Linked DNA regions of Caenorhabditis elegans. Each later gene encodes a partner of the first gene's protein in a complex. Each region holds a gene or a part of one and is shown on either strand. Other genes may lie near its edges. The genes, in order: calm-1 and tmc-2. A codon is read from its position in the direction of its gene.

Region 1 (5,955 bases):
ATTTTTAGGCTGCCAACTATTTGGACATCAAGGGACTTCTTGATGTTACCTGCAAGACTGTTGCTAACATGATCAAGGGAAAATCTCCAGAAGAGATTCGTCGCACTTTCAACATCAAGAACGACTTCACCCCGGAAGAGGAAGAGCAAATCCGCAAAGAGAATGCCTGGTGCGAGGATTAAATTACCCTTCAGTTTGCCTATTTCTCTATTACATTTCTAAACGACATGTCGCTTCCTTCCCCTTCACACTTCACACATTGTCCTGATATGGTCTCTGTCTATTTTTTACATCATCTCTGGCAGCCCAAAAACTTCTTCCTTTTTTCACCTAATTAAAATGCATCTTTTGAATTTTAACCGCCATTCTATATTTATACCTATAAATCACCGACCGGCAAAAATTATGCAGTGTGAGATTCTCACACATTTCCTCCAATGAACATCAGTGTGTCCTTTACGTGATTGTACATGCCTAAAAATAAAGTTGATGAGACGATACAAAAAACAAACGATTTATGTAAAACATTGAAAAAAATATAACCCGTGAATGTATTTAAATTCTGATATGAAAAGTTCTAATGAAGTCAGGTGATCGAGAGACAACGTGTTCAAATTCTGCGAAGTTTATACTCGAGTCTCCATCCAAATCAGCTTCTTCAATAATTCGTTCAATTATAAATTCAACTTCTACATCACTCAGCTCATCTCTTGTTAAACTTCGAATCATTTTACTCAAATCATCATGTCCAAGAAGTTCATCTCCATCGTAATCTAAAACAATATTTTGATACTAAATTAAATATTATTACGCAGACCTCTAAGGACCGCTATTGCAATATAATTTTATCAGATATAAATGCAAAATTTATGTCATGATTGTTAAAATAACAATATGATATAATACAATTTATTTACGCGAGTTACAGTAACCCGTTGCCGGAATGGCGAGACGTTGCGCGTAAATTGTGGTGAAAATTCGCAACTATGGACGTCTACGTAATAAGAACCATATAACTTTTATGGATTGTTAATATCAAATGATTTTATGTCTAATCTCTTCCTTACCATAAATTCTGAAAGCATATTTCAGTTTTAACTGGAGTGGTGCCATTTCCGAAAACACTGAGAACATGTCCAAAAAATCGTCGAATGATAAATTTCCGCGTCCGTCTTCGGAGAAAACTTCACAGATTCGTCGTTTGAATGGATTTTCCTGAAAGTTTGTTATTGTATCACATCAAGTTGATGTGGCCGATATATAGATTTTTGATATTTCCCCCGAAGAGTACTATGGTACCCGCTCTCGTCACGAACAAAATATTTTCAAATCGCGAAAAAACAGTGTAAGCCTATAATACAGTGATACAGTAACCAATTATGCATTTTTGTATATTTGCCAGCGTTTTCTTCTGTCAAAAACATTATTCTCTTGAAAAAAAAACTTATTTAAAATTTAAATAATTGCAAATTCTATGTAAGTGAGAGAAAAAGCGCGGGAAACATGAAGAAAAATGCGAAATAACGGATAGTTGACTACGGTAATTAGAGGCGCACATTCATTTGCGCGTGCAAAATTATTTGGCCAGAGTCGGTACCGTACTTTCAGAATAAAAACGCAATAATCTGTAACTTGAGGAAAACATTATTGATAGCCACGGTAGGATTACTGCATTTTCCCAATTTTATTACGATAAAGACACTTTCACTTTTTTGTAAATAAAAGTTGCAAACTTAGCAATAGAAGTTCAAATTGAAAATCAAGAATATGTTTCAACAAAAAAGTCGTACCTTTAATTCTGGCATTTTCTCAACTTCTTCAAAAGTCAGCGTTGTAATTGCAGGCCGATTTCCTTGCATATTTGTTGGAACTTTATGTGGATTCAATGCATAAAACCTTTTGTATAGTCGAATTATGTCCTTTCTCGTGAAAAATGTGCAATCCTGAAAAGAGATATTCTACAAACTCTCATTTTGATTTATGGATGGCTGCCACTTTGTACACTTCTTTTTGAGAAAATGGACGTGCTCCGAGGAATTCAAAGAAATGAGCGTTTTGAACGAGATTCTTCGTAGCAAGATGACTTTTTTTCAACTAATAAAATTATTAATCAAACAAATAAATATTTTCATTTAAATGTGAGTGATCGAAAATCTGCTAGAGGAAGCTCCTGAAAGTGCGAGGTGGAGCTCATTAGCGAAATTATGAGTATTTTGAGCCGACATTAGGGATGCGGAATATGTTATGCATCTTTAAGTAGTACTGTAGTTCTTACTCTTTATCAATTTTCATCAGATCTTCCAGTCTTTTCGAGACCTGCAACTATGTTTTTGCCAAAAATTCAAAAATTCAGCGAATAAGTTAAAAGGCATTATTATTTATTGTAGACAAGAAATGATGTTTTCCTTGAAGATTACTAGTATAGTTTGAAAATTTTCAGGAATTTTGATAGTTTTTGAGGTAAATGGCAAAATAATGTAATGCAAGTACCATTTTATAATTACAATTTTAATTTGAGATGTAAATTTTTAAAATAAAAATAAAAACATACTTGATATTCATCTAATTGTTCTCTTGTAAAGACTCCTCCTTTTGAAAAAAGGTTTAGTTCTGACAATGAACTTGCATTGTTTCCCATCTGGTCACCTGATCTGAAATGATTACTTTTAGTTCAAAAGTTGTCTGAAAGTATTTGAAAAAAAAGTAGACACTGCCTATTGTTAAAAATAAAGTTTTGTTCGGTGAGCCCCCTGGCCCCACGGAAATCGAGGAGGAAATGAGAATGGGTTTGGGGTGGCAGACAAACCAGAAAATAGTATACAAATTGTGGAGGTTTAGAGTCAGAAAATGGTGTAACATTAGACGGGAGGCCACGGGGGGAGAAGGCGAAGAAGAAGATGCAGAAAGAGCAGGAAGAAGGCACGGAGGGACCGGGTCTATGGGAGAGAAGAAATGGGAGATGGGGGCCCCCATAGAGACTAAACGATGACACATAAAAATTAGAGACGCAGATGAGTTGGGAATACATATGTGGATAGGTGATGATTCTCAAGATGATCATGGGAATGTCCAACTCAGTTATTTTTCTTCTGTGGTTTAAAAATTAAATTCTCTGATTGTTAAATCTATTAAAATTCAACATAAGAAAATTATCAATTTTTGTTTTTCACGCCTTCAGGATCACGAGGAAGTTTATTTTTGAAAAATGGATTAACACTGCTGGAGCAAATACTACAGCATACTCAAAATAGACCAAAAAGTTTATATCTCAATTAAATAATTTGGAATGTTTTAGGTTTCCAAAATTTCCAATCAAATTTTTGTTTTTAGTACATTGCCAAATTATCAAAAAAGTTAGGACTTAAAAAATATTTATGCAAGTAAGTGGTATATACTGCAACATCTCGATGAAAAATGTATCGATTTGTTCAATTTAGAGCTTTTAAGTATTAGGATAATTAATTCAAAATTTAAAATACTTTAACTTGGAGCGTAGGAACATATAGTTCACTAACTCAAAAATGAAATTCGAAGAAGTATATTCCTAGATATTGACTTTTTGTAAATCTGAAAGAATTGGCACGGCAAATTAGGTTGATGGAAGTAGCAGAGCGTGTTTCATTCCGCATGAATACTCTCGTTTCAACCAAATTAAATTGAAACCTTTTCGAATTCTATAGCTTTTGGAGATTCATGCTCTTTTAGTGGTCATTGTGAAGTCATTCAGAACACATTTTCCTTTCACGAAATTTTAGTATAAGGCTTTCCTAGTAGACACTAAAAAGATTGCAATAAATGTGACCACCTTGTAACCTACAAAAAACATGTGAACAGATCTTTCGACAAAATAATTGAAGCCAACACTATGCAAACAAAGAACACCAGAGTTCAAATAAAAATTCAGAAGAAAAACGGACAGAAAAACAGGATGCATTCATTCATCAGGCAAGCATTTAGTTTAGAAGATACATTATCTAACACAAAAGAGCAAGCCGAGTCTCGTCCGTCTTCCTGATTTTTATACCTAAGCGCTCGCAATCGCAAAATGAATTGGAGAATGTGAATCGATTGAACCGCATCATTTTACTTATATAATTTTTTGAATGGCTAATAAAAATTATGTTGTCGAATTTTACAGCTGAAAATTCCTAATTAAGCATTATATTTATTTGGATTTTCAAGTAAAAAGATTCTCGTTCAAAAATTTCGATGTCATCTTCAGATAGTCTTCCACAAAATGCTCAAGAAGTAAGGCTTCAAACGCCTATTTGGAAGCCCGAAACCCCGAAGATTTTGATTATCAATTCGAAACGTGTTGGCAATTCTGTAAACACCTAATGTGGAAATTTTCAAATTGTTATACAAATATTTTGTAAAGTATTCTAAAGGAAATGTGAATCATAAAACATTCTTTTCAAAATTATTTCTATAAAATTATATAAATGGAATTTAAAAATATCATCATACCACAAGTTATTTTCAAAAAAAAATGAAACCGATCATACCCTGCTTGTTCATTCTCTCTCTATTCAATCCGGTAAGAAATTTGTTGAATTTTTGAGAAATATGAAAGTAATTGATATTCAGATCTTTGCGCAAACAGCATATTCGCAAGTATGTAAATTCTGCACAGGAGAATTAGAAGTTCCAACAGTTTGGAATCAGTTTCAAGTTCTGCTCAGAAGTGTGTGCAGATGGCTTACAATTGGAAAAGTGGAGTGTAAAGCAATTGTTGATACAGCTGAAATGGATGAATCTTCGTATAAAAATGTGTATCCCTATCTTGTGGAAATGAAGAACATGGCCTGTAACAAATATAAAAAGGAGTATTGTTCACTATAATTGAACTTGTGACATATTTCAGAATAAATTTGGGGTCGGTTAGTCAAATTTGCCGATAATTTAAAAAAACGCTGATTTGTCTATTTACCGATTTGCCAGAAATTAAAATTTTCGGGAAACAGGAAAACAGGAAAACAGAAAGGAGTACAGTTGTAAATTTTTTGAAATTTTCGCGTTTTTGAAACGCTTTAATTTATTAGTAAGTTATGATAACATAAGAAACATTTATGTATATTGCTCGATATTCCAGTGTAAAACTTCCAACGAAAATTGTCGAAGCAAAATTTTTATTAAATTGGCGACTTGCCAAAAATCCAAGAATTTGTATTTTTCCTAGCGTCTGTTCAGCAAGATCACAAGAGAACCAAAACTATGTTTCCCATATCGGTTTCTTGAAAGAAGGGAACTGATTTCGGTTCTCATGGTGTCTCGAAATAAAAGAGAAAAAGTCTGCTCAAATTGTATTCTTCCAAACGGTTTCCTTCGAAAAAACAATGAAGCTTCTTTTCGTTTTCCTCTTCATCTCCGCTCTTGTGGTAAGTCATTTTAAAATTTCAAGAACTGTCTAAATTTGAATATAAGAGTGATGTAATTGTTGGAAATCTATCCTATAATACAACTTATCAACATTTTGTTGAATTTTTCACCCATAGTCAAAAAGGATAAATCTCTCAGTTTTCATCTATCATAATTTTGAATATTTACGAAAAAACAACAAATTTCTATTAACTTTACACCTGTATTTTATTTGAAATATTTTTGCTTTAATCTTGTAGTGTTCAAAAATGCGGATTTGCTCTAAATTTCTCAAAAAAACATGCAATTTTCCAATTCAAAAATTTGGCAGTGTACCGAAATTTTCAAAAATCTAATGCTTTCAGATTGGTTCTGACGCCCAACTTGGCAATCTTTGTATGTTTTGCAGTGGACTCATTCAAGTTCCAGACAACTGGAATGATGCTCAATCACTTCTTAGAACGGGATGTGCGCAAAGTGGAGACGCAGCATCTGCATGTATAGGGCTTGTAAACGCAGCCGATTTGACTTCATCGTACCCAAAAATGTATCCATTCATTATGGACATAAAGAAAATGGCATGCTTCAAATTCTGTT
Region 2 (9,252 bases), on another chromosome or scaffold:
AAATAAAACAATAGAAAATGTGAAAGACCAGCCAAGGTATAGGACATTACCCAGTAATTAATTATGAAATTAGAAGACAACAAAAATTAATCATTATCCGATTTTTTTGGTTTTTTCGGCGACTTTTCGACTCTCATTTCATACTTGCGATTCGAACTGTCAGAGTCCTGAAAATAAATGAATACAACTAGTTTTGTTTCATTATTCCCAATTACTTACATTCTTTTCGGAAGGCGGCTTTCGTGGAGGTGACATAGATATCCTAAACCGAGGTGGTCGAGGAGTCTGAAACATCAATATCTTTAAATAGTATTCACGACAACTTGTTCTTACACTCGGCTTACTTCCGCTCTCTGATTGCTGATCTTTTTCACGTTTTAGTCTTTTCAACTCTCTTGGTGAATGTGGGATTGGTGGTCTGAAGTTGTTAATTTAACACATTGCAAAAGGTATGTAACGATATGTTTAATTAGAAAATGTATTGCTGATTTCCTACCTATCAGGAATCAAACGCCCTTTCTCGTCATCAGTTGTCTCATCATTTGACATAACCTCATTCATAATTGGAGACATCATTGCAGAGGTGTAGCTGAAATCATGGTAAATTGATAAAGTTTCAATATAGTTTTTCATTTCTACCTGCTGTGAGGATTCAGATTTGCCCATAGTGGTTCATGAAGTGCAGGATCGCCAAGTGAATCGTCTGTTGATGGAGGACGAGTTGGATCTTGGGAAGAGTTTTCTACCGTAGCAACTCTGAAAATATTTATAATGATTATCTTAAGCTACCAAAGTATTTTTGCCGGTCAAAAACCTAATATCGAATCTGAAAGGTCTTTTTTCACAAAACGTGATGTATTTTCCTGTTTCGTGTCTCTGATCACGTACTGCCAACCATTTGAAATAAAAATACGATCAGTAAAAAAATCCAGAACAAAACAATGAACGAACAAAGTGAAGCTCGTAGTGATAATACTGTAGCTCAGAAAGTGATATAATATTTTTTAAATGCTAATTTCAGGCACTGAATGAGAAATGTATATTTGAAAATATCAAGTCGTGAAAACAGGTTTCCAAAAGTTATTGTTATTCCTTACCCATATCGAATATTGTGTGTTGTACTAATTGGCTGCAGAAGCCTCCTTGCAGCTTGTTTCTCAATTGAAGATGATGGCTGATGCGAGCTACTTGATGAACTAGCAGAGCTCCTAAAATGTATAACATAGGTGATAAGAGCAGTTATAAAACCAATAACAAACTTTTTCTCAATTCGCAAAGGTGTGATGTAAGTGTGAAGTGGATTTTCTGTGATCTCACTGCAAATTAAAAGTGCTCGTTTCGAAAACTTCTCACAATATTCAAACCAAACGTCTTCCTTCAATCAAACTTACATTCTCATTTCAGAATTGGACGGTGCAGTAGTAGTAGATTTTGATGAAGACGCTGATGCGGATTGTGAGTTTTGATCGAATGATTGGATAGCTGTACGGTAGGACATGTCACGATTACTGAAAAATAATTATTTTGTAAATAGTGATTGCTGTGATAATTGATGCTTGCCTTGTTCTTCTACTTTGTGAGCTTCGTTTACTTGGATTTTCTGATCGTTCTCTAGATGCTGGACGAGAACCGTCGGGTGGCAGAAGATATCTGCTTTCGGAGTTTCTGAAAATATTAACTTTTAGAGGAACTACGTGACACTTAAATCCGAGTACAAATTTTTTCTAAGAAAACTACTTTTAAAAAAATGGCCCGGAAAAAAAGCAAATATGAATAAAAAAAACTACCTCTTTTCGCTATCCTCATCATCTGAATCTGTTTCGGAACCAGTTGATAATTCTCGAAGCCTTCCACCACCTTCTTCCATTTCAATATCATCATGTCGCCCATATTTATTTGGATCAGCCCAGCCAATGCATACTAAAAACCTCTGACGAAGAGATAACTTTGGCGGAAGCGACGATGTTGTTGATTCACTATCAGAAGATTGTTCTTCACCGGTGCTGTGATCAACTTCTGATACTGATCCTAATGAAGGTACAAATTGGCGACCTGATACACTTTTAGCAGTTGATCTATTGTGCTGGGAATCATCATCAGAAGAAACTCCTTTTGTTGGTGGGGGTAGTAATTGTTTTGGTTTTTGTTTTCCAAATGTGTTGTCTTTGCTCTTTTTCTTCTTTCCCCCGGCAAGCTCAAAGATTTTTTTCTTCTCTTCTGTCCGTTCCTGGAAATGTTCAGTGTGATGTTTCATTGCATTACATTTGACAGTCAAATTTCGAATAGGACTAAATTTTGATAAAACAATTTTAAAAATCATACCACCATAAGTTGAAATGACAGGTCTTGATTAGCTTGTGATAATCCGGTAACCATTGCAATGAGGAAATATATAACCAGTCTGGAATTTTTAGCTACTTAAAAATTTACAAATGTTTTAAAACTTACGACAACAGTACTAAAACTGGAATAATGATTCCTGGAGACAAACTGTACTTGATACCATTAACAAGGGTTTTGTCTAAGTTTTCATGAAGAACATCAGTAATGACACTGTAGAAGAATGATTGATTTCTGAAATTCGTATATGTGATTGGGAACCTTCAAAAATATACGCTAAGCCCAATTTTCTTTATATTAAGGATGTACTTTAAAATACAGATGTAAAAATATTGAATTTTTATTAAACTTATTTGAAGTTTTAATTTATCAAACTCTTACCCAAATGGACCACAACTTTTACTCGGAGTTTTTGAAGCTATAACAAATCCGACTGGAAGTGTACAGAGGAATAGGAACAGTATTAGTAGTGCAAAGAAAAAGTTGGACGAACGACTGGCACGAAAGATTTGACTGGCCGGAACATTGCACGTCATTGCAGCCCATCCTCGAATGTACATCAAGATAATCAATTTTATGTTATTCAGCATTGGGAGAAGTGGAACAAAGAAGAGCCCGAGCCATATCATTCCTTAAAAACGCAACAGCATATTTGCAGACAATGTTTGATCTGTCCTACCTTGATTATTTACCAAGTGAAGCACATTTTCAGCAACTTTGAATTCTCCGTACTCAGGCTGAAATTTTAAATGTATAAAATGTTGAATAAAAGTATGTGAGCAGTGGTTAAAGATGGTGTAGTCGAATTATTTTTATTGCTTTATTAGAATCAAAATTGTCTAATAACACCCTATTTCATAATGAAACTTATTGAAAAATTCTCAAAAAAGTTATGACGGCCTAAGAAATGATAAGTTAAAATAAAATTATTTAAAATTTGAAATTTTACCTATTTGCCAATGTCACAGCAATTTTCAATGTGCAAAGAGAATAAAATCCATATTTTAAGTTATTTATCGCCCAAAAGTCCTTAACACTTCAGAAACACCAAACTTGGTATGGTCTTGAGCCCCTTTAAACACAGCAAATCAATACAGACTAAATTAATTTAAAAACTCACAAATGTTCTCTCCAAATCCCATGGCCAATATAAATTCAAATATCGACATGCCAAACCACGAAGAAAATCAATCAGAAAAATTGAAGCGACTGTCATGTACAAGTCCATTGTCACAAGTTTTGTTATTTCTTGGCCAATGATTGTTTCCCAACAAAGACCTCCTTGAGACATACGGAGTGATGCACGTGTTGTGGCTCTGTAAAAGTTATGCCTACAATTAGAAAACAAATAATTATATTACCCCGTTGGGCTTGCTGCATTCACAGTTGTCTCATTCCAGTCTGAGTTTGGTCCAAACATGTGCGTTTCTACAACTGGAGAAGAGAAAACTGTATCGTCCTTAGTGACTGATGCTTTCGGGTTATACACTCCAAATGGTCCAAAGTCGGGAAGCACAGTTGTCCACGAACTGGTTGCAGGGATGGGAGTTGTTGTAACTGGGGCGTAGGAGTAGTATGTATGGGGATTGTTGTCTACCGGATATCGAGGCAACACTGTCTCACGTATTGTTCTGGAATAAATTATATCAGTGACTTTTGTAGGTATGCAGCGTCGGTTTCCTGTTTTTTTATTTAAAAAAAAAGAATAGTCAAACCATTCTTATCATACTACAATAAATTATTTGAAACCGTTTAATTAAAAGCGTAACCTCACGAACCTTCCTATTGCATCTCCTGGATGGCCAAGTGCAGAAATTGGATTATCAGAGGCATTTTTCTCTTTCTGCAAATGCTCCAATTGCAACATCAATGAATAAATCAGAGTGTAGTAATTCAGAATGTATAGAACAAGCACTCTGAAAAAATTCCTCTACTCAAATTCCATAAGCTCAAATTTTTTTGAAACATACCTTCCAAGTTGGAACCTCAATGCATTTCTCGGGTGTAGCTTTTCAATTTTACCCAGCAGATCAAAAATATTCGGGAAAACTAATGTAATGAGAGAAATGGTTATAGCAGTGGCATTCTGAATAAGTTAATAGTGTTATTGAGCATCTAAGAACTACTAACCTGCGCAAAAAAGTGTTCTCCTTTCAAAGTTCCGCATTGCATAATGGCCCATATTGAGAACACATACATTGCGCAAATGAAAAGATTTGTAAGAACACGTGCTACAAACCGAATCCAGGGATGTTTGTCACTTGGCTTTTGTTTATCATCGTTTATTGCTTCACGAAATTTTATAACGTTTGCCATATAGACATTTCCAGCAGTTTCAGGATTACCTAAATTTTCAGAATATAAAATTAATCTCGAAAAAACTGAACGCTCACCTATAGTATAATCCCAGCCTGTGAAAGCTTTCCAATTGAATAAATACTGTTGCGTTTTTCCTGATGATAAGGTCCCACGACGATTGTTAGCCGCCATTCTTTAATTAGGACGAGTTTGTTTTTTTTTCTGTTCTATCTGATTTTCTTTTTTTTTTCAAACTCACTTCCTCAAGATGATGAAAAGTGAAAATCCTAGAATAAAAATGTTGCAGAAAAAATAAGCCACTGGAACACGATATTTGATTGTTTCTCCGAAAAACGTTTCTTTCGAGTAAAAACCGTAAAATAATAAAGAGTATTGAAAGTAGCCCTGAAAAAAAAACCATTGAACATTGGTTTTATCTGTTATCATTACAACTCACCCCAAAGTCCCAGACTGTGGATAGCTCGTCGGCACGAGCACGAACAGCTGGTGGCATTACTTTGATGGCCTTTGTCTTATTGTATCTGTCATCACCGAATTGAGTTCGAGAGTCGGCGAGCCACTGAAAATTATAATCTGAGGTGTAAAACCAAGACATATCATCATTAAAAAATCTCGTGCACGTCAGAATGTTCTATTTTGGCTTGATCATCAAAAACTGCTGGAATTTAGACGCTTCTAGACGCGAATTCCTTTACTGATTTAGCATGATTAAAAGCGTGCTGACGTCAAATTTTTCCGGGCGAACAATTCCCGCATTTATTGTACATCAAACTTTTCTTTAGTTCAAAATTGGAGGCCCTATTTTTGAAGCGTTGAAGTTTTTATAAGCTTGTAGAAGCTCACCTCAGGTATAACTACGAACATACACATAATAAATGTGATTGTGATGTTAACTCCGAGAACCCATCGATGAAATGTAAAATATGACGACACAACTGATCCAAAGTGGCTTTCAATTTTTCGAATCTTTGCTTCCCAGGGTATCAAATAAATTTTGAGATTATCCAACCATCGACTGGCTTGTGTCAATCTTCGACCAGCCTCTGCTTTGTATAATCTTGCTTTCGAGACTTTTGCTTCTTGCTGTTGTAGATGTTTTTGTGCTACTCTGAAATTTCCGATTTTGACGTTTCGCTCAAATGTTCATAGCGGTCTTACTTCAACGTCCGCCGTTTTCTTTTCATATACCACGGCTGGCCACGTAATTTTTGTATAATTTCTTTCTTTTGTTGAATTTTCTTGAGTATCCTATCTTTCGAAGCTTCTTTGTCGTCTTCTTCGTCGAATTCGTCATCGTCACTGTAATGTGAAAATTGAACAAAATGCTGGAAAGTGAATAAATTTTTTGGAAAACTCACTCGTCAAAATTGGGATTTCCTAATCGTGTATGTGGTCGAACAAGAACACTGGAGGAACGGCGAAAAAGAGAAAGCAGATCAGCCTGAAAATCAAATTAATTTAAATATATGAAACAAGTGTTAGCTGTTATAATCTGGACTTGGAAACATTTTTACTCTTTCACAACTTCAGAGCAATACTATATAATTTTTGAATTGATAGTTTTTATACACCTTGATTGTTTCTGTGAATTTCAAGAGCATACGTTTTTGTCTTAACAAATGAAAACTAAACGTTTATTTCACTTCTAGTTTTTACGAAATTGTAATTCATTTTTTAAATAATTTTTATTTATAAAATACTGCATAATTGTCAAGAATTTACAAAGCGAGTTTGAAAACGTACAATAACTGACGATCTTCTACTCATTCGACTATCAATTTCCTCTTCAGAAACATCCGCTAGAGACTTAACGGACTGTCCTGTTTCCCCACCATCATCAGTGTCATGTCGAACCAGAGGCTGATGAGCGCCTGATTTCGGCATCGTGCTTTAGATGACTGCACGCCGGCGTCCACTGCTCGATGCGTCCAGTTGACAGCTTCTTAGATGATCAATAATATTATTTATTTTTAGCACTAAATCTCTCATAGAAAGACAACGGGAAGATTGCGGATCGGAAGTGGTTTGTGAGTAATGGCGATTGCGATATGATTAGAAAAAAGCAAACGTTTAAGAGAGAACACGGAGACAATTGACGGAGTGAAGTCATTTTTTGCGCGTCTGAGAAACTTAACAAGATGGAAAAGAGCGGTTATCTGATGGTGGTGGATGACGCGGGCCATGTGTCTGGTGTGAGCCACATTATGTAAAAATTGTGATATGAAACAAGTGATAGTGAGCGCGGCCAGCGGGAGGTGCTCGAAATGCAACAAGCGATGTAATGAATGAAATTTTTGCGGGTTGGAGACCGAAAAGAAGCACACAGAAGAGTAGTCTGTGACAGAAGACACGCAAGAAACACAGAGCAAAGACACATTTTTTGCCTTTGACTCGTCGTCGGCCAAGGAGAAAAAAGACGACGGGTCTGGGAAGGATATTGATAACAATTGATGAGAAAAGAGCAAATTGGAGATGAGTTTGCAACCACCTCACGTTTGATTTTGATGTCGATGGCAAATAACACAAGCCACCGTCTGTCTCAATCTCTTGTTGATGCGGTTTCTTTTTCGAGGCCAATCTACAGAGCAAAACATACTCATCAGATTGCCGATCTAATTCGCGAGTAAGAAGTTCGCAATTGAGCACGTCTGAATTGAAAAAAAAAAACGAACATCGCTAGGAAAACATTTGCGGAGGAAATGAGCAGTGGAAAGGAGGAGAGGGGTCGTAAACTTAAGAGGGGATGTAAAATTTGAGTATCAGTGTCATAAAGATCTTCGTTGTTCCATTTAGTTTTTAATGTTTTCTTTTTTAACAATTAGTTCGAATCCTAAGTGAATTTTTGAGTTAAAACAGAGATTTTAAATGTCGAGAAATGAAGACGTAAAAAGTGAAGAGGTTTGAATTTAAAAAAAACGGTTTACACCATATTTTCATGTTTTTCATAATTTTACAAGTATAAAAGTATTTTCTAAATTTCCTGACTTAATTAGTACACACATAATGAATTATATAGTACTTAAAAAGGAGAATTTGTTGAATATTTCTTAATATCAAGTGTCAACATGGCAAGGTGTCTTAATATGGTATTTGACAATTCCACTATTTTATTTTTTTACATCTTAATTTCCCTCAATGTTGTTTGTTTTTGGAAACAATTATTTAATACACATAGAAGGACCCGTAAAAATTGTAACAATTTGTATCTGTTTTAAAGATGAAACAGAGAATAAATACTTAAACTTCTAACTGTTGCAGCAACAACATATGTTTTTTTAATCTAACTAAAAACAATATACAAAATATGTTTTAAAATATAAAAAACTCCTTCATGTTTCAAATTTTTGGGATAAGAATAATAGAAACATTTCTTGAGGGACATGGTGTGAAATGCGATCTCTCGAACTTTTTGGACTTTCAAAGAGAAAATAAGAACAACATATCTCTCAAGTGTCGGAAAGGTCAGGTGCAATTCGATAGAGGTGAAATTAGAGAAAATCATACAATCTAAAAATTACGCAAAAAAGTAGTAGTCCGGTCGGATGTGACAATCAAACAAAAATGTGGTGTTCTTCTTTATCTTCAGGCTCAACTCTTCTTGTCAACCTTCGTTTTCTCCTCTCAAAGCAATATCTCCCCCCACCGAACCAACGCTAGTTACATCCTCTTCCCCGACAAATGCTTCTTCTCATTCTGCCGGTGGACGGACACCATTGTCGAGAGATAAGCAGGAGATATAGAGTCTCTGCTCTTGATCAAACTTGTTATAGCAATCCGTACGTTCAATCCTCGTTTCAGAATGCTACTCGTGTTTTTCTTTTAAGCTTGTCATACTGAGCGCATGTCAAAATGTGGCGGATTGGGTGAAAAGAAGAAATTTGTTATTGTTGGTGATGAGTTTCTAACGTGGAACTTGTTTCAAAAACTTAGATTTGTTGGCAAATTTTCGATACTTTTTTCCAATCTCGAGAATGAGACAACAAAAGGTTAGAGGTTACAAAAAAAGAACATAATGACTACGTTCTTTAAAAATCAAGTTGAGAAGATAGATACATCTTCATTATCTAAAAGAACAGCGGTGTGTATGAACAGGAACCAATCAAGACAGATATTACACATACATTTTAATGAAACTTTCCCAAAGTACAATTGGTATCAAGAACTTTTATCCGAGCTTAATCAAGGACGGAACATGTGTCAAAAGGTGCCAGCTAACACAAGGTAACACATAGGTGTGTTAACAACTGAGAAATGAGAGGATGATTCGGTCATTTGAGATTTATATGTTTTTGATGGTCTTCGGAAATTAAGAGGGTTTTTCGTGAAAATAATAGAGTTCAGGAGGAGCAATGAAGTAATTATGTAGATGAAAAAATGGACAAATCTGACTGAGAGAGAGAGTTTAAAATTGGTAACCTTAAAGGAACCATTTTGACCATTTGACTTTTTTTCATAATTGCGTTCATTCAATTTTTGAATAGACAAGTATGTCAATCATTAATACTCCGTCAATTCAATTTCAGTGTCGTATACACAAAAAAAGCAAGGCACAATCCATATGATAACTGTTTTACTTTTTGAACAACTGATAAC

What was found.
Region 2: the proteins of calm-1 (region 1) and tmc-2 are in contact, whole or in part, in a cryo-EM structure (PDB 8TKP), measured with the Caenorhabditis elegans proteins. Residues at the interface, in NP_492514.2 of Caenorhabditis elegans: Ser15 (codon at 2,596), Asp26 (codon at 2,563), Glu27 (codon at 2,560), Tyr28 (codon at 2,557), Gln29 (codon at 2,554), Asp30 (codon at 1,943), Cys31 (codon at 1,940), Thr32 (codon at 1,937), Phe33 (codon at 1,934), Thr35 (codon at 1,928), Arg36 (codon at 1,925), Lys37 (codon at 1,922), Asp38 (codon at 1,919), Pro63 (codon at 1,844), Ala64 (codon at 1,841), Pro77 (codon at 1,802), Glu78 (codon at 1,799), Glu81 (codon at 1,215), Asn82 (codon at 1,212), Pro83 (codon at 1,209), Phe84 (codon at 1,206), Ile88 (codon at 1,194), Val91 (codon at 1,185), Phe92 (codon at 1,182), Ser93 (codon at 1,179), Glu94 (codon at 1,176), Asp103 (codon at 1,149), Asp107 (codon at 1,137), Phe112 (codon at 1,122), Leu118 (codon at 1,104); in NP_001335510.1 of Caenorhabditis elegans: Leu107 (codon at 5,864), Arg108 (codon at 5,861), Gly109 (codon at 5,858), Gln110 (codon at 5,855), Pro111 (codon at 5,852), Trp112 (codon at 5,849), Tyr113 (codon at 5,846), Met114 (codon at 5,843), Lys115 (codon at 5,840), Lys117 (codon at 5,834), Arg118 (codon at 5,831), Leu121 (codon at 5,822), Gln125 (codon at 5,760), Arg154 (codon at 5,673), Asn158 (codon at 5,661), Ile161 (codon at 5,652), Tyr162 (codon at 5,649), Glu167 (codon at 5,634), Ile170 (codon at 5,625), Arg171 (codon at 5,622), Glu174 (codon at 5,613), Ser179 (codon at 5,598), Val180 (codon at 5,595), Thr186 (codon at 5,577), Arg307 (codon at 4,812), Gly308 (codon at 4,809), Thr309 (codon at 4,806), Ser311 (codon at 4,800), Ser312 (codon at 4,797), Gly313 (codon at 4,794).

What each region holds. Positions count from the first base shown.
Region 1 is NC_003279.8:9,472,142-9,478,096, forward strand, and holds calm-1 (EF-hand domain-containing protein), read right to left. Parts: upstream 2,661-5,955; 5' UTR 2,639-2,660; coding exon 2,552-2,638; intron 1,944-2,551; coding exon 1,791-1,943; intron 1,216-1,790; coding exon 1,068-1,215; intron 774-1,067; coding exon 556-773; 3' UTR 501-555; downstream 1-500. Other genes in the region: skr-1 (Skp1-related protein), read left to right, coding at 9-182; F30A10.14 (Saposin B-type domain-containing protein), read left to right, coding at 4,490-4,537, 4,588-4,842; F30A10.11 (Saposin B-type domain-containing protein), read left to right, coding at 5,337-5,378, 5,724-5,955.
Region 2 is NC_003284.9:9,301,073-9,310,324, reverse strand, and holds the start of tmc-2 (Transmembrane channel-like protein 2), read right to left. Parts: upstream 6,602-9,252; 5' UTR 6,544-6,601; coding exon 6,403-6,543; intron 6,101-6,402; coding exon 6,018-6,100; intron 5,959-6,017; coding exon 5,818-5,958; intron 5,768-5,817; coding exon 5,503-5,767; intron 5,219-5,502; coding exon 5,096-5,218; intron 5,044-5,095; coding exon 4,898-5,043; intron 4,832-4,897; coding exon 4,734-4,831; intron 4,686-4,733; coding exon 4,471-4,685; intron 4,427-4,470; coding exon 4,311-4,426; intron 4,257-4,310; coding exon 4,119-4,256; intron 3,972-4,118; coding exon 3,702-3,971; intron 3,657-3,701; coding exon 3,461-3,656; intron 3,078-3,460; coding exon 3,020-3,077; intron 2,972-3,019; coding exon 2,722-2,971; intron 2,575-2,721; coding exon 2,449-2,574; intron 2,402-2,448; coding exon 2,323-2,401; intron 2,228-2,322; coding exon 1,788-2,227; intron 1,666-1,787; coding exon 1,561-1,665; intron 1,509-1,560; coding exon 1,392-1,508; intron 1,317-1,391; and 14 more. UniProt on the Caenorhabditis elegans protein: Probable ion channel.